Linked DNA regions of Sus scrofa. Each later gene encodes a partner of the first gene's protein in a complex. Links are inferred from orthologs where the notes say so. Each region holds a gene or a part of one and is shown in the gene's direction. Other genes may lie near its edges. The genes, in order: IZUMO1 and IZUMO1R.

Region 1 (14,554 bases):
CTGGGACCTGGGTGAAAGGGGGCCGGAAGCCCAGACTCTGGTCTGAGGGAGGAGGGGGCCAGGCCCGGACTTCTGAATCGGAACAAGAAGGGGGCTAGGAGCCCGGTAAACCCACCTCTCTGGCTGACTGATCGCAACTACGCACGGCTGCTGGAATTTCTGCATCCCACCTGAATTTCTGCGTCTCTGGGGTGGGACACTGAGGTTCCTTGACCTTCGGGGAAGGAGCAGAGGCCACATGACCAAAGCGTCCGCTCCTCAAGGACCCAGGTGTTCCTGGTCTGGAAGCTTCAAGCCAACCTCCACACCAGCCCGAACCCAGGCACGCAGAGGCCAAACATCCAGCCTCCTCTGCCTGGATCCTGATGCAATCCCGGTGTTTCTTTCACCAGAGAAGCTACCCAGGATCAGACAGGTGCCCTTAAAATAGCCTAGGGAGGGGGGGCGGGGGTGAGAGTCTTTGACTCAGAGTTGGCAACGGACCCTGGGCTTCAGAGGCAGAAGTTAGACCCACGATCCCAAAGAGAGTGAAGAGGCGGGCAATTTCCCGGAACCCCAGGGTGCAAGAGACTGGGCATCAGATCTGAATGAGGGGGCGGTGGGAGGCCTGGGCTGCTCAGGGTGCTGAGGAGCGGGCTGGGGTCCGGGTCTGGGGTCTGGGAATCCGGGTCTGGAGAAATGAGGGTCAGATCTCTGGAGAGGGAGTTCCCCTTGCGGGGCAGCTGGCACGAATCCGACTAGTCTCCATGAGGACGTGGGTTCGATCCCTGGCCTGGCTCAGTGGGTCAGGGACCCAGCGTGGCCATGAGCTGCGGTGTAGGTCGCAGACGCGGCTCAGATCGGGCGTGGCTGCGGCTGCGGCGGAGGCCGGCAGCCGCAGCTCCGATTGGACCTTTAGCCTGGGAACCTCCGTCCGCCGCGGGTGCAGCCGTAAAAAAAAAATCTCTGGAGAGTCAAGTGCAATTCCAGCGTCTTTGCTTTGTAGAATGACAATGGTCCGACCGCCCGGGCTAGGGTGGGTGCGGAGCGGCCTTGGGCAAGGAAACTGCTTCGGGTCTGCCGAAGGGCACGGCCTTTGTTCCAGAAGCCGGCTGCAGCCCGGGCCTCTGCGGGAGGGGCAGGAGAGATCCACTTCCACCTCGGCTCTCGCCGTTCCCGCCCTGGGAAGAGGCTGCGGCCTCCGAGACGTGCGCGTCTAGAAAGTGGATTCCGCCGGAAGGAGAAGCCGGGAACCCGGACATTTTGCGGGCGGAGGGGGTCGATCGGCGGCCCCGGTGCGCCAGACGCGCTCACGCCGGACCCGGAGAGCTGGGGAAGGCCTCGCATCCGCTTGCGGAGGAGCCTGGCGAACAGGTTCTGCTGCCCCCGGGGAGGACTCGGCAGGGGGGCGGGGGGCCGCGCACGACGCCTGGACCGGGTGTCCCCCGCGTCCCCGGCGTCCCTACCCAAGCCGCTGGGGCGTGGCGGCACTCGGCGCATCCAGGTACAAGGGCGGGTGGCGAACCAAGAAACTGGAAGGGAAGAGGGAGAGGTTGATGGACCGGAACATCTGGGTCCAGCGCTGCATCTGGCCGCTGGATCTCCGCGGCCGCGGAGGGATGTGGCTGCTGGGCAGCCAGGTGGGCGCTGCCCCGGGCTGGCCAGTGCCGGGGAGGAGGGGGCTGGGGCGCGGGTCTCGGGGTCCCGGGAGGGCAGGAGGTGGGCGCTGCCACCCTAGGGGGCGGAGCCGGGGCTGGGCGCCAGGGAAGGGGTGGGGCTCCGCCTCCGACTCTCGGCCTGGAGGGGCGGAGGCTGAGAGCCACCCGACCGCGCCCCTTCTCCTACCTCAGCTTCCCGAACCTTTGCAGCCAGTCGGGGGAGGCGGCGTGGAGGGGGAGGGCTGTGGGGCCTGGGAACCTGGAGTTCCGGGGGCCGCCGGATGCGGGCTGCACTTATGACTGGGAATCTGCCACCCGCCAGGAGCTCAGGTAAGTGGGAGATGCGGATGCCTCGGACCCAGGAGCCGGGCCTTCAGTACCAGGAGGCGCACCCCCAACCCCTAACCCCCTGCTACCCGCAGGTGTCTCCTGCGCCCCGACCCCCAACTCCTGCTCCTCCAGGAGTCCACAGCTCCCATCCAGACGTGGGCCTGGGGCTTCTCGCTCTCTACCCGACCTGTTGCTTGCTGTCACCTCCATAGTGGACTCTGCCCCGCCCACGCAGGTCCTTGAGAAAGGAGGTGGGGGGACGTGTTCAAGGTCAGTGGCCCTTACAGCCCGCGGGACGGAGATTCCAAGATGTGGGGACCAGGCGGTGGGTCCCGCCCGTGGCATCGCTAACTTTGGAAACCACTCGTTTTCACCATCTCCCACCCCCGAAATTCTGAGCCCCCAACACCTGCTAACTCAAACCCCAGAGCCCGGCTCCCTTTTTCCGACGGACCCAGGAGTTCAAAGCCAGAGTTTCCTCATGCCCACAGGCCTCTCCTCCCTGCCGCTCAGCCTCCAGCCCCGAGGATCTGCTAATTTCACTTTTCCTCCCTGCAGCCATGTGGGTCCCCAGCCGCCGCCACCTCTGTCTGACCTTCCTGCTAGTCTGTGTTTTAGCAGCAATTTTCTTCCTGAACGTCTATCAAGACCTCTTTTACAGTGGCTTAGACCTGCTGGCCCTGTGTCCAGACCATAACGTGGTATCATCTCCCGTGGCCATATTCTGCCTGGCGGGCACGCCGGTACACCCCAACGCCTCCGATTCCTGTCCCAAGCATCCTGCCTCCTTTCCGGGACCTGGACTATTTACCCGGATGGCCGGTTTGGGAACCAGATGGGACAGTATGCCACGCTGCTGGCCCTGACGCAGCTCAACGGCCGCCAGGCCTTCATCCAGCCTGCCATGCACGCCGTCCTGGCCCCCGTGTTCCGCATCACGCTGCCTGTCCTGGCGCCCGAGGTAGACAGGCACGCTCCTTGGCGGGAGCTGGAGCTTCACGACTGGATGTCCGAGGATTATGCCCACTTAAAGGAGCCCTGGCTGAAGCTCACCGGCTTCCCCTGCTCCTGGACCTTCTTCCACCACCTCCGGGAGCAGATCCGCAGCGAGTTCACCCTGCACGACCACCTTCGGCAAGAGGCCCAGGGGGTACTGAGTCAGTTCCGTCTACCCCGCACAGGGGACCGCCCCAGCACCTTCGTGGGGGTCCACGTGCGCCGCGGGGACTATCTGCGTGTGATGCCCAAGCGCTGGAAGGGGGTGGTGGGTGATGGCGCTTACCTCCAGCAGGCTATGGACTGGTTCCGGGCCCGATACGAAGCCCCCGTCTTTGTGGTCACCAGCAACGGCATGGAGTGGTGCCGGAAGAACATCGACACCTCCCGGGGGGACGTGATCTTTGCTGGCGATGGGCGGGAGGCCGCGCCCGCCAGGGACTTTGCGCTGCTGGTGCAGTGCAACCACACCATCATGACCATTGGCACCTTCGGCTTCTGGGCCGCCTACCTGGCTGGTGGAGATACCATCTACTTGGCTAACTTCACCCTGCCCACTTCCAGCTTCCTGAAGATCTTTAAACCCGAGGCTGCCTTCCTGCCCGAGTGGGTGGGCATTAATGCAGACTTGTCTCCACTCCAGATGTTGGCTGGGCCTTGAACCAGCCAGGAGCCTTTCTGGAATAGCCTCGGTCAACCCAGGGCCAGCGTTATGGGTCTCCGGAAGCCCCAGTAACTTCCGGAGATGCTGGTGGTCCTGTAGCAGCTGGACACTTATTTCAAGAGTGATTCTAATTGGCTGGACTCAGAGGAAACCCTGCAGAGGGGCTTGCTGCAAGGGTGGAACATTCTAGAACCAGTGGAAGAGCTTTTCATGATGGCTGGCAATGTCTGGAGACGCTTAATGCCATTCTAGACCTCGCATTGCCCACCTGTTCTTCCCAGCCCGTGTCCAGAGTACTTCTAGAGGGCTGTCTGCCCCCTTCCCCAGGGAACTCCTTGCTCCAGTGTTGACTGTCTAGAAGAGATATTTCTCCTCCCCCTGGGGTGTCAGAACTGAAGGACCTCTTGGAGGTTGTGGGGCAAGCACTCACCAACCCCCCACCTCTGTTTCTCCAAGGGCTCTGGGGGAAGGTTTGCTCTAGAGAGGGTCAGTGGTAGGGTCTGTAAAGAACCCTTCTGGCCCCTTCCAGAGGGGAGGGGATTCTGGAATTCTCGATAACCTCCGCCAAGAAGCCGATGAGGGTACAACCAGAAGCTCACCACCTCACCACTGCTAGAAAGGTTGATGGAAGACAAACTACCTGTGTAGCTGGGGTGGTTTGGGAGCAGGGCGGAACTTTCCCCAACCTTCCATCCCCCAGAAAACCACAAACCATAGATATACTAAAATATGGGAGGAGGAGGAAAAGGATGGCTGCTGAATGGTGCAGGTTATGGAGCAAGGCTCTGCAGAAATCTAGGGACAACTTTTTTTTTTTTTTTTTTAAGCCCCCAAACTGCCAACGGTAGGTAGATGTGCATATGTTGGCTCTGAGTTCATTTCCTCTCCCACTGAAGGATATTTCCTCCTTGGCAGCTGGGCTGCTGAGGCTGATGGGGTCGATTTACCAAACGCCACTTGGCATAAGGGTGCCCATTGCAGAGACCCGCCCATATCGTGCCTCTTGCTAACCCCTATCTGCCCCGAATCCACACGACCATGAAATCTGGCTTTGAACAAGCCAGGAATGGAAGGCTCTGAAGGTATGTAGCCCATGGCCTGGCCTCCAACCCAGGCAGGAGCACAGGGTCTGGCCAAAGAGGATGGGACATTTGACTCAGGTTTTAGGATCCTCCTGATGCGTTTTGAAGGGAGTGAAGGCAGATGCTTTTATGATAGAGTTGTCTGAGAATCTAAGCCCTGTTCTAGTCTTCTCAGGGAATTTGTGGGCACCGGTCCCTACTCAGTTGCCCTTGGTGGGAGAGAGGGAAGTATGAATTAAAAGTCCACATCACCAACCCGCCTCTGCAGGTTTTTGGAGTTCTGTGTACACGTGTGTGTGTGTGTGTGTGTGTGTGTGTGTGTGTGTGTGTAAGGAGAAGTAAAGGTATGGAGCTTCTGCAGACTCGCATGACTCATGTCTTGGGAGACTGTTCCTGCTCTTTTGTTGCTGCAGTTGTGTGGGTTGTGGTCTCAGAACCTCAATTCTTTTCTTCCAGACTCTCAGTATTGGCCCCCAGACCTCTTTTTCCTCTGGGACCTTGGCATCCAGCCCCAGACGATGGAGGAGGGAGGGAGGGTGCAAAGCTTATAATTCTTGAACTACATTTCCCATAAAGCTATGTGATTGGCTGCGGTAATCTACTAGGGAGAGACCCTGGCGCCTTCTGGGAGTCGTAGTCCTAGAACTAGAAAGGGCCGCTCCCCGCGTTTTCGAGGCCCGACGACTGGGTTCCCCAAAAGCCGTGGGCTTCTGGTCAAAAAGCCTGGGTCTTGGGGCCCAGAGGGGGAGGAGACTGATGGCTAGAAGCCTTTTCCTTGGCTCTAGAGCCGACAGGGTACCTGGCCTTCGGTGATGCTCGGAAAGTTCTAGTCGGCAAAGGCTGCCGCCTCTGTGACATCATGGAGGTCTAGGCGGGGCATCCTTATGTTGCGGTCCAATCAGACAGAGTCGAACTTCTGGGCAGGGCGGAGGAAACCCTAGGGAATATCTCTTGGGAATTTGGGGCTCCACGTGGGTAGCTAGAAGGCGGATGCTGCGGGAGGTCCTAGTAGTAAGGAGCGAACCGTGACTGTGACCCGCAACAAAAGCTCTCTATACCACGCAGCCCACCTCACCCTCGCCCCCAACAAAGTTCTTAATTTTGGTCTTGGGAAAATATTAGCGTGGAAGGACCGGCCTGCTTCTCCCACCTAAAAGCCCTCAGAACCTAGACTCTTTAGCGAACCCTAGCGTTCGAGGGCATCCCTGTTAGGAGTCAAGGTCGGGAAGCGGCTGGCTGTTTAGAGTGCTTCAGGACTCCTCGGTTTCCTAATGAGAAGGGTGCTCCCTGCCAACTGGGGCTTCATTAGTCTCGGAGAAGGGCTTCTCTCCGTTTAGCGTTCACCTCCTCGGTTTAGGGTAAGAGGTCCTCCCCGCGAGTTCCGCGCGGACTGCGAGCTCTGGCCGCAATGGAGCCGCAGCGGCTTTCGCTCCTGGTGGCAGCGTTGGCCGGCTGCCTGCTTCCTGCCCGGGGCTGTGTCATATGTGACCCAAAAGTCGTGGAGGAGCTGAGCTCCTTGGAAACAAATTACCTGCCTGGCCACCTGGAGGCCAAACATCACAAAGACGTGATGAAAAGGGTAAAGCAGGCGGTGAAGGATTTCCAGGATTTGCCGATTGATGAGGATTCCTACATGGGGGTCGTTGGTGAGGGCAGAGTGCAACTCCTGGGTCCCGGGGAAGGAGAGGTCTGGGGTTAGCATTGCTAGGAGGTACCAGGGAGAAAGGGCTGGAGGCAGAGTTTCCTGGGTTTGGGAGTGGAGAGGGCTGGGATGCAGAGTTCGGGGTTCCCCAAGGGCTGGCAAATACTGTTCCTCTTACCCCTTATCCTGCAATTTTATGTGATAAGACTACAATTCCCAGAAGGCAACGGGGTGTAAAAGCCCTTTTACTAGGCCTATCCTTGCCCATTGGCCCCATGGGTATTGTAGTTTCTAAGACGAGGCGCGCCAATGAGACAGTAAGGCTTGGAATCTGAGGTTCTAATTTCCCCACAGATGAGGCCACTCTGGAAAAGGCATCCTGGAGCTTGCTGAAGGATCTGAAACGCATCACGGACAGTGACGTAAAAGGTAAATGCGCAGAGGGGGCAGGAGAGCGCTTCTAGAAACTCTCAGGGAAGTGATTGCTGGTGACACCTGGTCTGGTGATCAGGTACTAGATTCTGGAGCCAGACTGCTGAGGTTCAAGTTCTGGCTCTGCTGTTTCCTAACCATGTGGCCTTGAGCAGGGACTGTCACAGCTTGAATTCCCTTGTGGCACAGCCAGCGGGTTAAGTATCTAGTATTGTCACTGCATGGCCCAGGTCGCTGCTGGCCCGGGAATGTCCACATGCTGCGCTGCAGGGGTGGCCAAAATAAAATAACACGAAGGAATTGCACAGCTTCGTTATCTCTGAAATGGAGCCCATAACAGACCCTTCATCCCAGTCGGTGCTTTGCCCCGTGGCCAGCATCATGTTAAGTGGTCGTTAAATTTTACTGCCCTTCCCTAAAAAGACCCCCAAACTGACCGCCAGTTCTGCCAACTTGACAAAGGCCAGGTAGCTGTACCGCACACCCGGGGGGAGCAGGAGGGTGGGGGCGGGGACTTCTCTGCGTCATCCTGCTTCTTCCCAGGTGAGCTCTTCGTGGATGAGCTGTTCTGGACGTTGCGCCTGGCAAAGGATACCTTCGCCAGCTATGCTGCTCAGTTTCAAAAAGAGGGTGAGTGTAGATGGGAGTCGGGAACCCCAGATTTCTCCTTCCACAGTCTAAGAGTCCCTGTCCCCAGCCTTCTGCTTCTCCGCCACGGATCCCTCAGCTCTCCCAACCCCCTTCTCCCTCAGACCCAGGGGGTACAGGCATCCAGGTCCTTCCTCCTCCCCATTCCGAAGGCCCAGCCCTCACCTGTTCCGCATCCCCTCTCTCATGCCCTTTAACTTCGAAATCTGATTCTTATTTTTTTCCCCTTTCTTCCGAGACAGTTTTTTGTCCCAACAAATGTGGTGAGTCCGGATTATGGGACCTGGTCCTCTATCCCTCATCCCTGCCCCGTGAATATACTTTTGGGTCCATGCAATCTTTCGTTCTCTGCCCCCAGAGGTTCCTGGGTCTCCAGTATTCCTCCGCACTTCTTGGGAAGTGGGTCCTAATCTGCTGGCACTCTTCTGAGCCTGGTTCAGGGGGCTGTGTTCTAGCCCCGCCCCTCTCCGGCTGACCTCCTAGGGATTCGGCTCTTGACCTTGCCCCAGCCCTTGGCCCTGCCCTCTCCTTTTAGCCCCGCCTCCTAGTGAGAGAATACAACCTCGATCCTGCCCCCTCAGGTTTGATGTTGCAGCCTCTGATCTGGTGCAGTACCTGCCAGAAGCAGGTTCACTCTTGTCGAAAGTCCCGGAGTTGTGGAGGTGAGCCCTGGACCCAGCAGGTGGGACTAGCGCAAGAGGGGTGGAGCCGGAGGAGGGACCGAGTCTAAAGAGGGTGGAGACTGGAGCCAGCCAACTGGAAACAGCGGGGCTGATGTCAAGTGGAAGGGTTGGGAGAGGGCCGAGAACCGCGAAAGAGCATCCCACAGTAACTCCCCATTCCCAGAGCGCAAAGTCAAGGTCCATCAAATGGAAGATATGATCCTGGATTGTGAGCTCAACTGGCATAAAGTCTCTCAAGGCCTGACGGATTACAGCTTTTACAGGGTGAGGTCCTCCAACTCCTGTTAACCCTTGAAGTCCAAGGCCATCAGGCTTGTATGAGCCCCCCGGTCCCTGTACCCACAGGCCTGCACCCACCATGCCCATGACCCATGACCTACCAAGTTTGGCTTCTTCTGCTCCCCTGGGACCCTAGGCCCTGATCAGGACACCTTGGACTCCCACCTCACCACTGAAGCCCCGTGATCTTCTCACCCCTATACTCCCCCAACCCCTGAATTCCCCAGGCCTCTGTGACCCCTTGAGCTTGGGTCTAGGTTTGGAAGAACAACTCTGAGACCTTGATGGCCAAGGGGCAAGAGCCCACCCTGACCAAGACCATGGTGAGTCCGAAGGATGCAGGCACATATCGCTGCGAGCTGGGTACTGTACAATCCACTCCAGCCACCATCATCCATTTTCATGTCACAGGTCAGTGCTGGGTTGTTGAGAGACGTGGGATTCAGATGGTCCCTAGGTTGGGGGGGTCGGGGGGGTGGAACTCCAGCTCCAGGGGCGTGGCCTGCTCCCGGGGCGTGGCCTGTGGGCATAACTTTCTATCGGCCTGTGGTTTCAGGTCCCAAAGGTGTGGCTTCCTGGCCTGAGTGTGGCCTCTGGCCACAGGGCCAGGGCCCCCCCCACTGGGTGTGTTCGGACTTCACGCAACTGGGGGTGTGATTTTTGTCCCGCGGGGCCTGGTCGGGTTGCCATGAGGAGAGCTTGCCTGGGCCTTGGCGGGACCTTGATGCCCCCCCAGGACTGCTGCTTGCCCCTCCTCTCTCAGTATTGCCCAAAAGAATCGTGGAGGAGACACCGTCACCAAACACCGAAACCCAGGATGAGACGGCTCCGGGTGAGGTGACTTTGGATCGTCCCCAGACGTCCGCAACCCTCCAATCACAGTCTCCAGGGCCCGAGAAAGTGCTGAGACACCGCCTGGTAGGGCTGCTCATCGGGGCCATCGTGGTGCTGATAGCCGGCGTCGTGACCGCGTGAGCCGCCCCCTGAAGAAGGCGGGGCCTGGAGTGAGGGGCGGGGTTTCCAAGTCCCTAAGGCAGGAAGGCTCTGAGAGCCCACGATCGCCGAGAGCTGGCCTTCCTCCGGGAGCGGGGCTTACCTAGGAGGGCGAAGCTTGGCTAAATGCTAGAATGAGATCAAGCACCGGGGAGGCTGGGAAGCGGTGTTCCTCACTCAGTTGGGACCTAACCTCTTTCCGCTATTTGCACCCCCGCCAGGATACTTTTCTCTCAGTCTGGGAAAGTGATGAATTTCCTAAAGGCCTCCCCGCTCAGCCCTGGCAAAGGCACTGCTTAGGACTCCGGGTTTCGAAGGAAAAGAGGAAAACATTAGGGAGAAAATAAAGATTAATGTAGCTGTCTAAGTATCTGACGCACTCCTCCGGACGGATTCTAACCTGGTTCCCTTAGAGACGTCTGGGGACTCTCTCCCGACTGAGGGAGGAGGGGCTGGAGACCTGGCCCCCTGGGTCCTGGAAGGGGCCCACTGGCTGCGATGTGATTCCAGAATCAAGGAGTGGGGCAGGGCCAGCCCTCCCCAGATCTCCTCCCCCAGGCCTGGTCCCCTCACAGGACGCCCCCTCCCCGCTCTTCCTGCCGGTTTCCTCTGCCTTTTCCTGTCCCCCACCCAGTGCTGGGAGCTGGGGCCGAGGCAGAGGCTGAACAGGAGCAGCGGGGTCAGGAACCATCCAGGGCAAGAGGAGCCAGGGGCCCCGGGTGCTGCCGGGACCCGAAACAGGGTAAGAGCCTGGGATCCCAGGGTCCAGACCCCTCCTCCTTCAGACCCAGGTGTGGGTCCCCATCCCAGCCACCCGGGGCCCCATTCCTCTCTCCCACCCAGCCCCCTCCTCCCTCTGACTTAGGAGGCCTGGTCCCCCTCCACCCCCACCTCTAGCTCTTCAAGCCTCGTGAGTGGGGGCCTTACCCGCTCTCCCTTAGGGCCATGCTATCTGGTGAGCGGAAGGAGGGCGGAAGCCCCCGCTTCGGGAAGCTCCATCTCCCGGTGGGCCTGTGGATCAATTCTCCCAGGAAGCAGCTGGCCAAGCTGGGGCGGCGCTGGCCCAGCGCTGCCTCTGTCAAGTAGTGCCCACCTCTGCCCGACTCCTGCCCCACCTCACCTGCCTCCGGTCTCGCCCTGTTTGGGACTCGGTCCCTCCACTGGAAAATGCCCGGGACCCCGAAAGGGTTGGCTCCAGTTCCTGTCCTGAAGGGGCAAGTGAGCTGGCAGTAGGGGACAGTTGGCCCCAGTGATACAGGGCCTGATGGGGCCAGTGTGGGTCCTGGAGGTGGGCTTAGGCCGGGTGGACACGGGGACGGGGGACCGGGACACAGAAGGAGCAGCAGCTTGATTCACCTTCCTTCCTCCCGTGCCTGCTCACCTCTTGGAATTTCCTTCTGTGGGACTTGCCTTTATTTATTTATTTATTTATTTATTTATTTATTTTCTCTCTCTCCCCCCCTCCCCCTCTGGCCTCTGTGCCCCCCATTTCTATATACCCCGCATCTCTTGCCCTTCTGTGGGTGTCTGTCCCCCACTCGCTCTGGGACTCTGCTCCCCCATCTGTGTCTTTGCCCCCCTCCTTCGTTCTCTAATCCCCCACCCTGTCTCTGCGTGTCTTCTGGGGTCTCTCTCTCCCCCGTCTCTGCTCCCCGGCGGGCCGCCAGGTCTTCGTCTTCAGACACGGGGAGCCGAAGCAGCGAGCCGTTGCCCCCGCCGCCGCCGCACGTGGAGCTGCGGCGAGTGGGCGCGGTCAAGGCGGCCGGGGGAGCCTCGGGGAGCCGCGCCAAGCGCATCTCTCAGCTCTTTCGGGGCTCGGGGACCGGCACCACGGGGTCCGGCGGCGCGGGAGGTCCCGGGACTCCGGGGGCAGCTCAGCGCTGGGCCAGCGAGAAGAAGCTGCCGGAGTTGGCGGCGGGCGTGGCCCCCGAGCCGCCACTGGCCGCCCGCGCCACGGCGCCCCCGGGGGTCCTCAAGATCTTCGGCGCCGGGCTGGCTTCGGGCGCCAACTACAAGAGCGTCCTGGCCACGGCGCGCTCCACGGCGCGCGAGCTGGTGGCCGAGGCGCTGGAGCGCTACGGGCTGGCCGGCAGCCCCGGCAGCGGCCCCGGCGAGAGCAGCTGCGTGGACGCTTTCGCGCTGTGCGACGCGCTGGGCCGGCCCGGGGCGGGCGCGGTGGGCAGCGGTGAGTGGCGGGCGGAGCACCTGCGAGTGCTGGGCGACTCCGAGCGCCCGCTGCTGGTGCAGGAGCTGTGGCGGGCGCGGCCCGGCTGGGCGCGGCGTTTCGAGCTGCGCGGCCGCGAGGAGGCGCGCCGCCTGGAGCAGGAGCCTTCGGGGCGGCGGACGGCGATGGTGAGTTGGCGGCGCGGACGCTGGAAGGCGGGGCCAGCGGAGAGGGATGGGCGGGGGCTTGGGGGGGCGGGGCCAGAGAAGCTGGTGGGACCGGACGGCGGGCTGGGGGCGGGGCCCGCGAGAGGGGTCTGGGTGGGGCCGATACAGCCCTGGGTCTAGGGGAAGACGAAACTGGGACGGGACTCGGGTCAGCCAGGTGGGCTAGGCCGGAGGTCGTTGCCCTTGGGATAGGTGCAGCGTCGCTGCGCAGGGCCTGCGATACTGGGGCGGGGCCGCGGAATGGAGTAATGGGGAGGAAGAGATACAGGGCGGAGCAGGTGAGTGGTCCTGATGTCGGGAGGCCTGTCAGTAGTAGTAGGTTGAATTGGTTTGTGAGGGGCAGTGCCTTTGTGGATGGAGGCTAGAAGGGGCACGGGCCTGGAAAGTGGGAACATGGGCTGGTAGATCAGAGCCTAAGAATGGGAAGAGTCTCGGAGGAGTGGGTCTTGGAACGAGTGGCCTTAGACTGGGTTGGCTGCAAAGCTTGAGTGGGGGCTTGAGGGTGGTGCATGGGAAATGAAGAGGTATTGGTACTGGCCAAGAATCGGCTACCTGGGGGCCTGGTCTTTGAGAAGGCCTGGGCCGGAATGGGAGCACAGGTGCACTGGTGGTAAAATAGCAAAGGTGAGGCAGAGCCTGGCAGGGGTGGGGCCTGGCTCACAAGGGTGGCGCCTGCTCAGGGAGCCTTCTCACTGCTTTTCTGTTCCTGAGCCTTCCTTTGTGAGACAGAGTGGTGTCGCAGTTACACTCACAGGCTTCGAAGTCAGGGTTGGATTCCAACCCATTCTTTGCCAGTTAAATACAGCCAAATCCTAGGTGATTCAAGGAGATAGTGCAAATAAAGGGTTTTTAGCACAGGGCTTGACACATAGTAATTGTTAAATAAAGAACGGCAGGGAGTTTCCATCCTGGCTCAGCGGGTTAAGAACCTGACTAGGATCCATGAGGATGCAGGGTCGATCCCTGGTCTCGCTCAGTGGGTTAAGGATCCAGCATTGCTGCAAGCTGCAGTGTAGGTTGCCACAGACATGGCTTGGATCTGGCTGTGGCTGTGGTGTACGCTGATTCGACCCCTAGCCTGGGAATATCCATATGCCTTGAGTGTGGCCTTAAAAAGAAAAAGAAGAAGAAGAAAAAAAAGCAGTTATAACCATCATTGTTTTTTTTTCCTTTTTTTCCCAAAGAGCATTCATGAAATGCTTACTATGGGTCACATAGGATTTAGGGTCCTGGGGGACTACAATGGGGACATTGACAGATGAAGTTCCTGCCTTCCTAGATTTCACAGCCCAGTAAGAAATACATCAGTTCACTCGTTCATTTCCACTGGGCACCTACTGGGTGACAGGGCTGTGCTGGGCCCAGGCAGCATTCAGAGTGCCCAGTGGTGCCCTTCTCTGCTTCAACTTGGAAGGTCAGGGAAGGGTGTTCAGGAGGAGGTGGTTCCTATTTCCCTGTGGGGAGGATCTTCTCGGGTTCACTGCAAAGTCCCTAGTGCCTAGAACAGTGCCCAGGACATAGGAGTTGTTCAGAAAATACTGAGGAGTTCTCGTATGGCTCAATAGGCTAAGGATTCGGCATGGGCACTGCAGCGGCCTGGGTGGCTGTTGTGGCGCGTGTTCGATCCCTAGCCTGGGAACTTTTGCATGCTGCGGGAGCAGCCAAAAACAAAAACAAAAAACCTAACAACGAATTGGAAGAATGAATGAATTTATGAGCTGAAACTGCAAGATGGGTAAGAGTCAGGCAAGAAGTATGTTCCAGGCGCAGGGAACAGCATATGCAAAAAACGAAATGTGGGAAGCATCCTCACAGCCAGTTGGCTATCATCTCCAGCTGAGCCTCCTCTGTCTCAGTCTCATCCATCACTCCCCGTCTCTCTCCGTAGGCACCGGCGCCCCCTCGTGGCGGCCACAGAAGAACCGCTCCCGGGCAGCGTCTGGTGGGGCGGCTCTGGCCAGCCCTAGCCCGGGGTCCGGGTCAGGGCCCCCGGCTGGGTCCGGGGGCAAGGAGCGCTCGGAAAACCTGTCCCTGCGGCGCAGCGTATCGGAGCTCAGTCTGCAGGGTCGGCGGAGGCGGCAGCAGGAGCGCAGGCAGCAGGCCCTTAGCATGGCCCCAGGCGCAGCCGACGCCCAAATCGGACCAGTAGACCCCGGCGACTTTGACCAATTGACCCAGTGCCTCATCCAGGCCCCGAGCAACCGCCCCTACTTCCTGCTACTGCAAGGCTACCAAGACGCCCAGGTAGGCACATCCTCTTCTACCGGGAGAGTCCTATGCCGCATCCTCAGGTTGAAGGGCGACAAAACTACAACTCCCAGAATTCCGTGGGTCGTGTTAGTCTTCGGTATGCCGGAAAGTACGGTCCCAGCCAGGTCCCAGGGGAGGAGATACTGTCAGAGAAGAGAGTGGGGGAGGTGGAGATGGCTGAGAGGGATTTCACTGGAGGGACAAGTAGGCGATGATTTATTTCGTTCAAAGTTGGGGGAAAGCACTGTCTTCCTCCAGGAAGAATGCGAGAGCGTATTTTAGAAAGATCTTGGAAGCCTCTATTTCTTGGGGTAGGGTAATGGAAGACTATCTTCTGGCGGAAGGGAGAAATTTGATTAATGCCTGGAATCTTTTCTGGGTAAGCCTATATTCTCTTGGGAGGAGAGGACTAAATCATTTGTAAAAGTTGATGGGTTTCATTCAAACGATTTCACCATCGTTGATGGGGGCAGGTGGCACTTATCGTTTACGTATTTGGGTGGCAATAGGAGAATTTGAATGTCGGG
Region 2 (14,535 bases), on another chromosome or scaffold:
AAGCTGGCAAAGCTGGCAGAATCATGAATGCAATTAAAATTTTTTAGGAATTAAAACCACTAGGGGAGTGCTTAATGAAGAGGCTGCTAGGTTTTAATAACAGAATGTATGGTGTTTTTGCTTACCCAGCTACCACCCCACACTCCCTAGCTCGACCAGCAGCTATGGTGATGGAGGCTCATGCTCCTGATGGTACGGCTTTCTGGTACCAGAGTGAGCAATTCAGACCTTGTTATCAAAGAACTGTGCTGTACATTTGGACCTGCCTGGTAGCTCCCTGAGAGACTGGCTCAGAGGCTTGCCTTTGTTTTGCCCCTTTGGAATTTTCTCAGGGCTGGAATGACCTCCTGGAAGCATTTGTCAAAAAGTACCTAATGGCATTATACTGCTGACTTCCACCTCGTGCAAGGGATGGGGAATAAGACAAGTAGCAGACAGGCCAAAAATCCTGGGAAGAAGGCGGCTGAGGAGGAAGATGCATAAGGAATAAAGGCTTTGAAGAGCTCCCAGGTGCACCAGGGAATACAGAGGGCCAGGCACACACCTGTCTTAATACATTCTTAGAAAAGACCTGAGGTGATCCTACGCAGGATAAATTCAAAGACATCTGACTAAGAAACACTGTGATCAAACTGCTGAAAGACAAAGATAATCTTGAAAACAGAAAAAGAGAAGCAACTAGTTATGTACACGGAGCCTCAGTAATAATTTCTCATCAAAACCCACGGAGACCAGAGGGTAATGGGGTGACCGATTTAAAGTGCTAAGAGGCCAAACAAAAACAAAAAACCTATCAACCAAGAATTCTATATCTCGTAAAAATTGAGAGAGAAATTAAGCCTTTCTCAGATAAACAAAAGCTAAAGGAGCTTATTGCTAGTAGACCTACCCTAGAAGAAGGAGGCTTTCAGAATGAGATGAAAGGACATGAGGCAGTAACTCAAAACCCTATGAAGAAATAAAGAACATCAGTAAAGGTAACTACATAAGTAAAGATAAAAATGGTATTGTTGTATTTTTTGCTTGTAACACCTCTATTCCTATATGACTTAAAGCATAAGTATATAAAGTAATAATGGTAAATTTATGTTAGCAGACACACAATGTATAAGGATGTACTTTATGACAAATAACACAAATTATGGGGTCTGTGTCACTGGACAGGAACAGAGTTTTTATATTCCCTTAAAGTGAAGATTGTGGAGTTCCCGTCGTGGCGCAGTGGTTAACGAATCCGACTAGGACCCATGAGGTCGCAGGTTCGGTCCCTGCCCTTGCTCAGTGGGTTAACGATCCGGCGTTGCTGTGAGCTGTGGTGTAGGTTGCAGACGCGGCTCGGATCCCGCGTTGCTGTGGCTCTGGTGTAGGCCGGTGGCTACAGCTCTGATGAGACCCCTAGCCTGGGAACCTCCATATGCCGCGGGAGCGGCCCAAGAAATAACTGAAAAAAAAAAAAAAAAAGACAAAAAAATAAAAAACAAAAAATTTAAAAAATTAAAAAAAATTTAAAAAAGTGAAGATTGTATCAATTCAAATTAGATTGTCAGAAATTTAGATGTTAATTTATAATCCCCAGGATAACCACTAAGACGATAACTAAAAATATATACAAAAAAATTGGAGTTCCCGTCGTGGCGCAGTGGTTAACGAATCCGACTAGAAACCATGAGGTTGCGGGTTCGGTCTGCCCTTGCTCAGTGGGTTAACAATCCGGTGTTGCCGTGAGCTGTGGTGTAGGTCGCAGACGCGGCTCGGACCCCGCGTTGCTGTGGCTCTGGCGTAGGCCAGAGACTACAGCTCCGATTGGACCCCTAGCCTGGGAACCTCCACATGCCGCGGGAGCGGCCCAAGAAATAGCAAAAAGACTAAATAAATAAATAAATAAATAATTAAAAAAAAAAAACTCTCACTAAAAATATATACAAAAAAGAAATGATAAAATAAAAATGGCACGCCAGAAAAAAAAAATGAAAAAAAGAATTTAGAGGTTTTCTAAACCAAAAATGCAAGAAGTGCCTTACACTGGAATTTGGACATGTAGCCCGTGGGAAAAATGAAGCTTCTCTGAACAGAAATTCAGCCCACATAAAACCTTTCACAAACAGGTGCTATAAATATTTGTGAAGCATTATCTAAATAACATGTATGACCCAGGAGCTTAAAATGGTCTAAGCCTCTTTCCCACTGTTGTTGCTGTGAAACTGAGGTCTAGTGCCATGTGGCAGGCCAGCATTTCCCTACGTGCGATTGGCAGAACACCCATGCTCTGCTATTAATGACCTTAATATACACGAGGGGTGCTGTGGAAATGCTGCGTTAAATGGAGTTCAAGAAATGTCTTGACTGCAGGACCCCTCAGAGGCTGTAACTCATTCAGCGTGTACACTGAGTCCTCAGGAGGTGCTGAGAGCTTGACTATGTCTCCACCTCTTTGGTCATGAAAATAATCACTCATTTTGGAGACTAGAGCTTCAGGGAACATCCTTTAGGGAATGATGTGGATGGGAGTTAATTGGGGAGTTCCCACTGTGGCTCAGCAGATTAAGGACCAAATGCTATCTCTGCGAGAATGCCAGCTCGATCCTTGGCCTTTCTCAGTGACTTATGGATCTGGCATTGTTGCAAGTTGCAGCATAGGTTGCAGATGTGGCTCAGACCTGGTGTTGACGTGGCTGTGGTGTAGGCTGGCAGCTGCAGCCCCAATTTGACCTTTAGCCCAGAAACGTCCATGTGCAGCAGGTGCAGCTGTTTAACAAAAAGGGGGAGTTCCCCATAATACAGAGATTTTCTGCACCCCCCTTTCGTCATGATCAGCATTTAGGACTCTTATGTGATCACCTGAGTGACGCATTTAGCTCAGTCCTGCCGCGTGGCAGGTCTTGAATACTCTGCAGATTTTATTATAAGATTTAAGTGCCAAGAAATAATTCAGTAGACTTTTTTTGTGTGTGTCTTTTTTTTTTTTTTTTTTTTGCCATTTCTTTGGCCGCTTCCGCGGCATATGGAGGTTCCCAGGCTAGGGGTCCAATCGGAGCTGTAGCCTCCGGCCTACACCAGAGCCACAGCAACGCGGGATCCAAGCCGTGTCTGAAACCTACACCACAGCTCATGGCAGCGCCAGATCCTTAACCCACTGAGCAAGGCCAGGGATCGAACCCGCAACCTCATGGTTCTTAGTCGGATTCGTTAACCACTGAGCCACGACGGGAACTCCTCAGTAGACTTTTTTTATCTGGTTAATGTAAAACAGAAGAGCACAGACTTAGAAGTTAGATAGACCTAGACTCAAATCTGTGTTCATCACTGACCACTGATTATGGGCTTGAAAATTCTACAAACTCCCTTTGTAACAGCACCTATGTTAGTGTTTGAGGGAATCAAAGAGGCCAATAACCTAGACAAGCTGACATAGAAAACTGACCACCACAGTTTACTCTTGTCAACTTGGCACTGATACATGTCTTAAATCATACTTAATCTCCAAGTAAAGATATCAGTGTCCTACTTCCGCATGATACAACTATCCTGTGTACAACCAAAAATATGCTAATCCATTTCCCAGAGATGTTAAGTCTTCTCCTCTGACATCCTGCCACTTAAATCTAGCAATACAAAATTAACCATTCCTAATACATCTTATGACAGATGATAAGGAGATAAGACCTTGAGCAACTCATTTAACCTCTCTGAGATCATCTGTACAACAGGTTAAATACTTATGCAGGGTGAAGTGCTCACTCTTCAGCAATCATTTGTACCAATCAATATACACTATGTCGTATATAGTATGGCACTAGACTCAACCTGTGCCCTTGACCAGCAGACAAGGCAATGAGATGAGGTCTCCCAAGAGTTTGGCACAGGGCCTGGATCAGTCATTCCTGAGAAACCTTGACTTCTCCTTCCTCCTGGAATGGGGGAAGGCACAGTTCTCAGAATCATCACAGTGGTGGCTTGTGTCTCTTCATCTCACCCAAAGGGACCATGCATCCCGCAAGAGAAACAGCCCCTGAAAACTTCTTCCAGATCCAAAGAAACCACCATGCTGGGCAATGTGGAGGAACTAAGAGAATTTCTACATTTCTGCAGATGGGTGAAGTGCTTTGAGGACAATACAGTAAGATGACTCAATGGCGCCTCTTAAGCCCCAGTATCCATGGCAACCAGACATTCCACAAGCTTTGATCAAAAAACAGAATCATCAACTCAAGTATGAGGAGCCACTTAGCAAATTAAAAATCTAGTTTTGTAAACTGGAGTCATTGAATATTCGCAAAAATTACCATTATCCAGAGAACTAAGTCTTAAGCAAACAAAACATTCGACAGCTTCACATAATGTGATATCATGTTGGTATAGGAAGTGTTCACTGAAGAATCACAAAGTTCACTTTTCTAGAAACGACAACTGCTTAATCATGGCATCACCTGAGGCAGTTTTCCCATTGGTTTTTAGAAACTTGATCTCCCCCCCTCTCTAGCATTTCATTCATAGGCACAAGGGTACAAAGAGTCACACATTTGTCACCTTAAAGCTATTTCCTTTCCACTGATTTCTTTCTATAAGCCACAAAACACATTATGGACCTTCCAACCCATCTGTGCATTTCACAAGACATCTTTAATGTAAGCGAAGATAAAGACATAAACTAAAACATATCTAGAAAAATGCATATTTGTTTTCTTGAATCCATAAAAATAGAAACTAATCCAATTTCATTCTTTAAACGTGAAATTGTGTACTAAGAGAAATTATGCCGGAGAGAAAAACAGTTCACCGATCACATCTGGGAAGCTGCATGGCTAACAGAGTTGTGGGGAGTCAGGACCATGAGCCAGCTGAGGCCTGTGGGTACAAGTTATCTAGTCAGAAGTGAGAGGTGAATGAGGGTAAAACAACAAATTTTTTAAAAGGGTGAGCATCTGAAAGCCTGCACATCACACACACATGCCACTTATACCTGTGACTATCTACAACACCGAGGCGTCCCAGGATTTTTCCTGGCATGCTTCTTTGTGAAAATGAATCATAGGAGAGAAGTTGCTGGGGTTTTTTTGGGGGGGGGTGATTTTTTTTTTTAACCAAAGAAAAGCACTTGTTCATTTTACAAATACCTACGAAGTGCCTGCCATGTACCAGGCTCAGCAGTCACAGCTGTGAAACTGACAAGACACAATCTCCACTGGTCCAGGGGCTTTGGTCTATTAGCAAACACGAAAGTCGGCAGACAGTGCCAGGAAAGTGTGGGATCCTGACGGAGGCTGTGAGAGGACCAGGAAGGGCACTAGCTCTTTGCTTTCTTAGTCTGTTCTGGAACTCCAGCACCTTGGGTGACCGGGAGAGTCGGGAGAAGAGAATTAGCACTGGCCACCTCCGGCCGTGGTCCCAAACCAGAGGCGGAGCTGCTCCTTCGCTGCTGTCTGCCTCCCCCTCAGAACCCTCTGGATGCTGCTCTAGCTCTGCTCTTGGCTATTTAACTGTTCTGTTTTGTTTAAGAACAAAATTGTTGGCGATCAGCCATTTCAAATGGCTTCCTCCACAGGCAGCTTTGGTTTATCAGCTATCCGTCAGCAAACAGATCTCGCTGGAAGACTCAATCATGGTAGGGCAGAAACGCGTTTTCCTCAAGGGCTGCAGACCCCCTTTCTGGGGGTGCAGAGGTCAGCCTGCTCTGAGGCTGCTCTGCAGCCCCCTGCCCCCACCCCGCCCCACTCTGCCCCCCAGCACCTGCCCTATCCTTCCTGCTCATTTCCCACAGCCTCTCCCCAGGGCCCACCAGCCGTGCCTCCTCCACTTCCCTCCCTCCCTCCGCGTAAAAGACATTTACCCAAGGACTTGTCTCCCCATTTCAGTCATTAGTGTTGTGCTTCACTGCCGGATTCCTGTCCCTGCCACATCCACAGCCACCGGGCGCTTAACGTTAAACCCCAGCTCTCCCACCTCATCAGACCTTGGGGCCTCCTGAATATTCATGATGCCTTGAACCAGACATGCACTTGAACCAGACCTGCTTTTCCCCTGCCCTGGGATGCTGCAGGGAGAGACGTGGGCTCTTTGGTACCAGACCCTAAACAGGAAGAGACCCCTGACTCTGTTTAGCACGAGAGGCTAGACATCAATCATCGCTGTTCTCAGATAAAGCCCACACGTGACGCCCAACACACAATCTGATTAGGGCATGTTTTTTCTTTTTGGTTTTTAAACAGACTTGACCCACAGGCAGCACCTCCCCTTTCAGCCCTGGAGATCTCCCCCCCACCGGGTCCTCACGCACCAGGTATGGGGTCATGCTTACCTGAGTTCAGATCCTGGATCTGCCCACTCCCCAGCTGAGTCTCGGTTTCCTCACAGGTAACATGGGAAGGATGCTCACCAGAGGAGGGTCGTTGTGAGGAGTAAGCCAAACCGCAAACAGAAGGCCCAGCCCGGTGCCCAGGTCCTTCACGGAGCTCAGAACGCAGTGACGGCGACAACCCAGGCGTGGAGGATAGCATTTTCCAGCTCGATGGTTAATTCCCGTCTGCACATCACCTGTGTAGCTAAACAGCCTGCTTTCTTTGCTTCAATTAAAAATGCTTTCATTGTCATGTTTCAACTTCCTGTGTGTCGATAAGACGCCAGTGACTTTGACGACCTCTCCTTCAGAGAGGGAACTTGTTAGGAGGCAGGCCAAGAAATGGGCTCCTTTTCCAGAGTTTTCATCATCTTGGGGACTCTCCTAAGAGCCTGGCCACGTTTCCTGCCTCTCCTCAGCTGAGGAGGATGCGCCCGTGAACTTCACCATGGCTGAGGGCAGTTGCAGAATCTCTCGCTGGACAGCGGTCCCTGCTCTCTCAGGAAGCCTGTCTCCCAGGCTTGGAGGGATTTTTTTTCAGTTTTGTTTGCTTTGGCTTTGGGCATACATTTAAATTCTTGCATCCCTGGCCGCCAAGGCCTGGACCCAGCAGGAAGCCTAGCTCCCGTGGGCTGTGAGAGGACGCAGTCACCATTACAGCCCAGGTGGGGTCCATCTCAGGTGACCGAGCTGCTGAAGGGGCAGGGAAAGCTCTGGAACCGGGCTGAGAGAGAAAAGCTTCATAGGATAAAAAGCTAAGAATAAAAACCATTTAGACTTACTCTGCCAGGCTCGATGCCAAGTCCTTTGCAGGAACTTTCTCGTTCGTTTCTTTTCCCCAACAATCCCCCTATAGCAGCCCTTTCTACAGATCAGGAAACTGACACTCAGAGCGTTTAAGGGGTTTTCTCAAGGTGGTCCAGCCAGCAGGCAGCAGAGCTGAGAGCAGAACTCCATAGCTGACTGGTTAGGGATCCAGCATCGTCCCTGCTGCGGCTTGGGTTTGATCCCGGGGCGGGGGCGGCGGGGGGACACTTCCCCATGCCTCTGGAAAGAAAAAAAAAAACAACTGAGGCACGAACTAAAGAGCCTAGGATCTTGCCTCCTGTGGGAAAGTGAAACCATCCTGGCTCCACCCACAGGAGGCCCCTGCACGTGGGTAGGATGGATGCTGTTTAATGGGAGGCACCTGGAGCTCTGCATCCGCATTTGGCTCAGCAGGAACCTGAGAGGGTAATAAATAGGCTGAGATGGCTCCTCAGCCTCATAATCTCCGGAGGCAGGAGAGTGGGGCTCCTGCTTTGAAAGTGAGTATGAAGAAAGCGCTAGAAGGGGAGGCATCTCTCCTCTGTTCACCTGATGCAATTGATTCACTCCAGGGCCATGTCTGTGCTTGCAACTGGTGCTGAGGCAAGAAAGCAGCCTTGGATTTGGACTTGAGGGTGGGCTCAGAAAGGGAGCCGGGGTCTCCACCCCCGATGTTTGAGACTCTAAATGTGAGCTGGGCCAGAGGTTTGGGGTTTCACTGTGTTGGGTCCACGGGCTGGTTCCTGAGAAGCCTGGAGCCTGGGCTTCTGGGTGGGTGAAGGCTGGGGGGTGCCTCTGGTTCCAAGAGATGGGCTGTTGGAGGCAGGATGTGTGCTTCTGCCCTTTCTGTTTGTTTCTCTCTCGTATAATGAGAACTACCCAGAACAGAGCTGGCCTCCTCGTTCTTGTAATGTGGATCTGGTTTTGGATGCAGAAGATGTGGGTGGCTCACGCCTTGGCTCTGAGAGGCCAGTAGAGCTGCTGGGCTCCTGGCTGCCCCAGCCTCATGCTCAGGCTGGGTTTGAGATGGCATGAGGCTAGTGGAGTCAGACTGCTGCTCTAGGCGACAGGACTCTGCCCAGAGGGACCTTGGGAGGGGGCCAGTTGCCTGAAGAACTGTAGGTCCTGTGTGGACCCCCTCCGAAGGACCAGAGTTAGGGTTAAGGTTAGTTAGGGTTGGCACTCTATGGAGGAAGGATTGCATTTGTCATGCTACCCAACCCCCTATGTGCTCTTAACCTCATGGAGAATCTGGTTACTGAGTATTTAGTTACTCATCCAGGCTCGAAGCTCTGAATTCCCAGCCCTTATGCCACTGAGTTAGAAGAGCCAGAGAAAGTTCCCCCAGGAAAAGCTAGAATCATTCGACCCCCAACCCCCACTCATTTGGGGCTGGCCTCAGGTTCTACGTCCGTAGGTTGTTGGGGCTGTCAGCCTTCACGGCCATTTTATGTGATGCTGCCTCACAGTTGCATGAGGGGGGCTTGAAGCCCATGCTTGCTTCCCAGGGGCAATGGAGTGGAATGCAATGTCCTCCCATCACAGGTGGGGCTTCTTCGAGGCAGGCCATGGGGTGGTGGCGGCAGCTCCTGCTGGGGCTGTGGGCGGTCCTGCCCACGTGGGCCGGGCCTGAGCTGCTCAACATCTGCATGAACGCCAAGCCCCACAAGCCAGAGCCCAGCCCGGAGGACAAACTCTATGAGGAGGTACGGAGGACGGACCTGGTGTGGCGGGTGGGTCAGGTGGGGGCCCCTGCAGATCAGGGAAGGGCCACAAAGGCCAAGATGGTTTCTCAATCCGCATCCACCCTGACTCGTTTGTTCCCTAAGCTGGGATTTGGGCAAAGGCCACTGGAGGGGGGCTATGATCTTTTGAGACCAAAATTCCTGAGTGATCCAAAGTTTCCATCTCTGATTGGGAGTTGGGGGCTAGTGGATGCAAACTGTAACATTTAGAATGAGCAGGCAACAGGGTCCCACTGTTCAGCACAGGGAACTCTCTCCAATCTCCTGGGATGGAACATAGTGGAAAAGAATATAAAAAATAAGGTATGTATACATATATGACTGGGCTACTTTGCTATACAGCAGAAATTGACACAGCATTGTAAATCAACTATACCTTGATAAAACTTAAAAAGTTTCCATCCCTGGAGTTCCCGTCGTGGCACAGTGGTTAACGAATCTGACTAGGAACCAAGAGGTTGCGGGTTTGGTCCCTGCCCTTGCTCAGTGGGTTAACGATCCGGCGTTGCCGTGAGCTGTCGTGTAGGTTGCAGACGCGGCTTGGATCCTGCGTTGCTGTGGCTCTGGCGTAGGCCGGTGGCTACAGCTCCGATTCGACCCCTAGCCTGGGAACCTCCATATGCCGCGGAAGCGGCCCAAAGAAATAGCAAAAAGACAAAAAATAATAATAATAATTAAAAAAAAAAAAAAGTTTCCATCCCTGAGCCACTTAGGGAGCAGGGGCAGAGGGCGATCCTGGAAGCCCGTTGATGTTCAGCCTAGATTCTAACACGCAAGTTTCACCTCCTCTGCCCTCCCACCAACCGGCCCTGGGGAGGAGTTCCCTGGTGGCTCAGCAGGTTAAGGATCCAAGAATACAGCCTTGTCACTTCTGTGGCTCTGGTGACTGTTGTGGCAAGGTTCGATCACTGGCCTAAGAACTTCTGCATGCCAGGGCATGACCAAAATAAGCAAACACACAGGCCCGGGCAGGAGGAAACATGAGACTTAAGGGACCACCCCCCCCACCCCCACCAAGTTCCCAAAGACAATTGACAGGGATGAGGGAGGAGGAACAGAGCTAGCAGGTGCCCTCCCTCTGGGTAACCCTATGGTCCCCTGGGTCCCGTGGGGTTCCCCAGCTGTCCCTCATCAGCTAAGACCCTGGCAGCCCTGTTCTAGGGGACTCCTAGGCTGCAGCAAGGAAGCCAGCGTGCAGGCGCCCTTTGGGTGTGAATGTCAACAAATTATCGGCAATTCCTCCTGCCACTTCCCCGCTGCCCGGGCTCTCCTCAAGGGGGATTATAATGTTCTGGCCCAGACACTCCTCAGGCCCCTGCCCCTACCGCCCATGCCTTTTGCTTCTTCGTCCACATCAGTGTATCCCCTGGAAGCACAATGCCTGCTGCACGGCTGACACCAGCTGGGAGGCCCACCTGGACGTGGCCCTGCTCTACAACTTCAGCTTGGTCCACTGCGGATTGATGATGCCGGGCTGCCAGAAGCACTTCCTCCAGGCCATCTGCTTCTACGAGTGCTCCCCCAACCTGGGGCCTTGGATCCAGCAGGTGCGAGGGGCAGGCTGGGGAGGCAGAAGTCGCGGCCATCAGGGTCCCATCACCTCGGGCCCTGGAAGATGCAATGGGCAGGATGGTGTCTTGAGAACAGTGGGATGCAGGGATTATTTGAGATGTGTTAAAACCGTGTACCAGCCCCTAAGTCCTTGTGTTTCGAAGGGAAAAGCTTTTTCTTTAGCCTCCCAGGCCTCCCCTCTGTCTCAAAAGGCTGACTCAAGAGTTAAGGATTAGAAAATAGTGATACAGCTGAAAATGAGTTAAAACAGACTCCATGATGTTATGCCCTACCTTGGCCACTAACTCACTCTAACCAGGTTTTCCACAAATGATTTCTTCCTTGCTTAATTGCTTTCTTTTACTAATGGTTACTTTTTAGAGTTATATTGCATCTAACGTTTTCTTTTGTAATTAAAATGCTCCCTGGAGTTCCCGTCATGGCACAGCAGAAACGAATCCTGGAATCATGAGGTTGCAGGTTCAATCCCTGGCCTCGCTCAGTGGGTTAAGGATCCAGTGTTGCGGTGAGCTGTGGTGTAGGTCGCAGATGCAGCTTGGGCCCCCCGTTGCTGTGGCTGTGGTGTAGGCCAGCAGCTACAGCTCCAACTGAACCCCTAGCCTGGGAACCTCTGTATGCCACAGGTGCGGCCCTCAAAAGACAAACCAAAAAAAAAGACAAACAAAACAAAACAAAACAAAAAAACCCACTCCCTAACACTGCTTCCCTGTAAGCAATCTTCTTTCCAGAGAAAAGGTCAAGGAACAACAACCCCGATGACAACCAGAAACCATCCCCGGACCAGTTGACACCAGACTTGATGACTTTAAAATGATCTATGGAGGAAGAATAACGCAGACCCCTTAATCAATAACCCTGTCTTCCGAGCTAAACCTGTAAAACCCCTCGCTATCCCCTCTCAAGCGAGGAGAATTTTGTGGTGTGAGCCTACTGTGGCCTCCTTTGCTGGCAAAGCAATAAAGCTGGTCTTTCTAGTTCATCCCGAACTCTGTCTTGGAGCTTTAATTGGTGCTGGTGTACAGAGGCCACCTTTCAGCTGCAGTATCTTCTCTTTGTAGGAACAGAGCTGGGCACAAACTGTTTAACTCGCCTCGTCGTTCTCATTTGTAAAGTAACATTTAGTGACTTTCTAAGAGACTTATGTTCAGAGGGTCCCTGACCCAAGTACCACGGCAGCTATTAATATTCATCAAATTACTGCTTTTCCAATTCTCGCCTCTTGCTACTCTGCACCCAGACGGACCCGCACGGGCAGGCAGAGCGGATTCTGGACGCGCCCCTCTGCCAGGAGGACTGTGAGGAGTGGTGGGCTGACTGCCGCACATCCTACACCTGCAAATCCAACTGGCTCGGAGGCTGGACCTGGAGTCGGGGTGAGTGGTGCTTGACAGAGGCAGGGAGGGGTCCCCACCCGGGAGGGGTCCCCACCCACGGGCGGGTGCAAGCTGCTCTGCTTCCCCCACACACACACACACCCCACACACCCCGCCCCGGGCAAATGATGGGGATGCCAGGACCAGAGCGGGTGTCGCGTGCCTCTATCCCTGTTAGGGAAGCACCGCTGCCCGGCGAGGGCCCTCTGCCACCCTTTCCCGCATTACTTCCCCACCCCCGCCGACCTGTGCGAGAAGATCTGGAGCCACTCCTTCAAGGCGAGCCCGGAGCGCCGGGACAGCGGGCGGTGTCTGCAAAAGTGGTTCGAGCCCACCCGGATCAACCCCAACGCGGCTGTGGCCCGCCTCTTCGCCAGCCCTGCCCCGTCCTGGGCGCTCTCCTACAGGCTCATGGCCTTCGCTCTGTCCCTGTCCCTCCTCTCCTGAGAGCCCGCCTCCCTCCACACATGAGCAGCACAGGGTGCGGGTGGGTGGGATGCTGAGGCCGCAGGAGCTGGTGCCTGAGCCTCGCAGGTTCCGTTCTGCTCCGCTCTGCCTTTCTGGCCTGGATGGCAGCTGGGATGGCAGCTGGGAAGGCAAAGGTGGCTACCCCTGCTGCCCTAAGGCTGGGGGGCTGTGACATGGGACTCCACATTCCCATGGGACTTTCATGGTCCTTTGGTAAGTGGACCGGCAGTGGACACGCCCACGCAGAACCTTCTGGAGCCAGCAGCTTCCCAGCATACACAATGTCTCCTCACAACCTTTGCCTTGAGGAAGAGAGGCTTCGAGTTCGGCTGCTGTCCAGTTAGAAAAGCCAACCAATAGTCACCCACCCAGGCAGTGTCTCATTCAGTGCACGTCCACCCCCGTGTGCCCGGCAGAGCTGAGGGTGACAGCCCGGGACTCCTGCCCCACGATGGTGCCTCTGAAAAAACAGCAGTCGGCCTTTCCAGGCTTTCTGACGGGCTCGGTCCTGGCTCTGTGGTGCGGGGTTGGGCTGCATCAAGCAGGGGCCGGTGTGCCTGCTGGCACTAAAGTCTCCAAGTGGGTTGTCACTTTGCTAACGATGACTTCTCCACACGGGCCAGGCCCCCTCGATATCCTCAGGACGCCTCTCTGATAAGAGTACTTTCAACACCTGCTGTTCTTCAGCAAGTGACACACGGTGCAAAAGACCCAAAGCCAGGGCGACCATAGGGCCACTGGTTTCCCTCAGCTCTATTTTGGATCCCAAGATGGAAGCAGCAGCTCAGGTGTTTCCACTTTCCCTCTTCTTCTCAACCTCAGAATCACAGCATGCTGGTGTGAAAGTTCTGGAAGCCAAAGTTCTAATGTCTTTACCACTTTCCGTATGACTTTTAGCAAGTCCCTTGACCTTCATTTAAGACCGTCATGGTTTCTCTCCCCACCGAGAGGAATGAGAAAGTTGGAACCAGATGATTTTTAACTTACAAAAAGAAAAAGGCAGTGCCACCGTCTGCTGGGATACAGCCTGTGCTTCTTGAGCATGCGTCCTAAAGCCCCTCTGCTGGGATACAGCCTGTGCTTCTTGGGCATGCGTCCTAGAACCCGGGAGGGAAGAGGCAGAGCTGAATCAGAGAAGGGACACCAAGGGGGCTTTCACGTTCCCTCAGTGAGTGGATGTGCCGGCTCAGAACCTTCTGGAGCCTGCAGCCAGCAGCTTCCCAGTATAAATGGCGCCCCCTCACAACCTTTGCTTTGACAAGAGAGGCTTCAAATATATCTGCCGTTGAGTTAGAAAAGCCAACCAACAGTTAGGTATTCTTGACAGATGCCAGCCAGCTCTGCTCATCAATTAAACACCACCTCCACCCCTCCCACGCTTGCCTTGAGCGTTGTGCTCATTCACTGTGCAAAGCCCAAGCCCATTCCAGGCAGGGCACTCATGTTCTAAAACCAGCCTCCAGAGTCCTGCGAGTGAGCTTGCTCAGAGTCTGCAGAAGGAGGCAGACAGCAGCAGTGGTGACAAAGACTTTAAAAAAGCTGGAAGTTTGCAGGACCACCTCTGCCCGGTGGGGTCCTAGGAAGGCTTCACAAAAAGGGTGAGGCCTGAGCCCCAGTGAAGAAGGGTCACTTCACGGAGAACAGGAAGGAAATGTGAGACAAACCCCAGCCCAGTCCCCAGGCACGAACTGTCTGAAGCAGGACCTTTAATTTATCTTCAATCAATCACTCTCCCCAGGCACGAACTGTCTGAAGCAGGACCTTTAATTTATCTTCAATCAATCAATCAAATGTGGCTTCAAAAAAAAAAAAATATATATATATATATATACACATAGGTAAAAGTCTCTTAAGAATTGGGGGTTGAATAAAGTGTCTGAGAGTGTGTTTTTGGTAATAAAGCTGAGAGTGTAATGATTATTTTTTAGTAATTTTAGGTATAAATATAAAATTAGTCAAAGTAGGGTTAAATTGAGATGAACAAAACACAACTAGTTCTGGGGATTTTGGAACCACTCTCCTGGAAATGTTGCTTGGAGCTGTGGAAGTAGATGAGTTCGAAGAAAAATGTAGAGAGGAAAACAAAACACTTGCGGAGAGTCTCTGACTCAACTACTGTTGAGGGTTAACCGTTGACATCATGGCTGAACTCAGGTCCAGCCAAATTTTCTGCTCAGGGAGGAAAATTTTTAAAGGGACGTAATCTCAGTTAATCATTGATTGATGCAGGGGATCA

The links.
Region 2: the proteins of IZUMO1 (region 1) and IZUMO1R are in contact, whole or in part, in a crystal structure (PDB 5JKC), measured with the Homo sapiens proteins. The link is inferred for Sus scrofa from reciprocal best matches to the Homo sapiens genes IZUMO1 and IZUMO1R. Residues at the interface, in NP_872381.2 of Homo sapiens: Met75, Val77, Tyr134, Val141, Leu146, Trp148, Lys150, Asn151, Lys153, Glu155, Val156, His157, Ala158, Arg160, Lys161, Ser162, Tyr163, Asn239, Ser240, Ser241, Pro242, Ile245; in NP_001186135.1 of Homo sapiens: Lys42, Tyr44, Glu45, Ile48, Leu58, Trp62, His65, Leu66, Asp67, Gly80, Leu81, Leu82, Met83, Pro84, Gly85, Arg87, Ile91, Met145, Ser146, Tyr147, Gln171.

Annotation. Positions count from the first base shown.
Region 1 is NC_010448.4:54,067,839-54,082,392, reverse strand, and holds IZUMO1 (izumo sperm-egg fusion protein 1), read left to right. Parts: upstream 1-6,073; 5' UTR 6,074-6,117; coding exon 6,118-6,355; intron 6,356-6,705; coding exon 6,706-6,780; intron 6,781-7,326; coding exon 7,327-7,413; intron 7,414-7,673; coding exon 7,674-7,694; intron 7,695-8,012; coding exon 8,013-8,093; intron 8,094-8,277; coding exon 8,278-8,378; intron 8,379-8,650; coding exon 8,651-8,804; intron 8,805-9,156; coding exon 9,157-9,364; intron 9,365-9,607; coding exon 9,608-9,686; coding exon of another isoform or gene 9,687-9,733; 3' UTR 9,734-9,786; downstream 9,787-14,554. Other genes in the region: uncharacterized protein LOC110261360, read left to right, coding at 679-684, 986-1,353, 1,830-1,967, 2,060-2,210. UniProt on the Homo sapiens protein: Essential sperm cell-surface protein required for fertilization by acting as a ligand for IZUMO1R/JUNO receptor on egg.
Region 2 is NC_010451.4:26,508,583-26,523,117, forward strand, and holds IZUMO1R (sperm-egg fusion protein Juno), read left to right. Parts: upstream 1-7,508; 5' UTR 7,509-7,641; intron 7,642-8,686; 5' UTR 8,687-8,709; coding exon 8,710-8,847; intron 8,848-10,244; coding exon 10,245-10,452; intron 10,453-11,693; coding exon 11,694-11,831; intron 11,832-12,009; coding exon 12,010-12,278; 3' UTR 12,279-12,367; downstream 12,368-14,535. UniProt on the Homo sapiens protein: Receptor for IZUMO1 present at the cell surface of oocytes (oolemma), which is essential for species-specific gamete recognition and fertilization.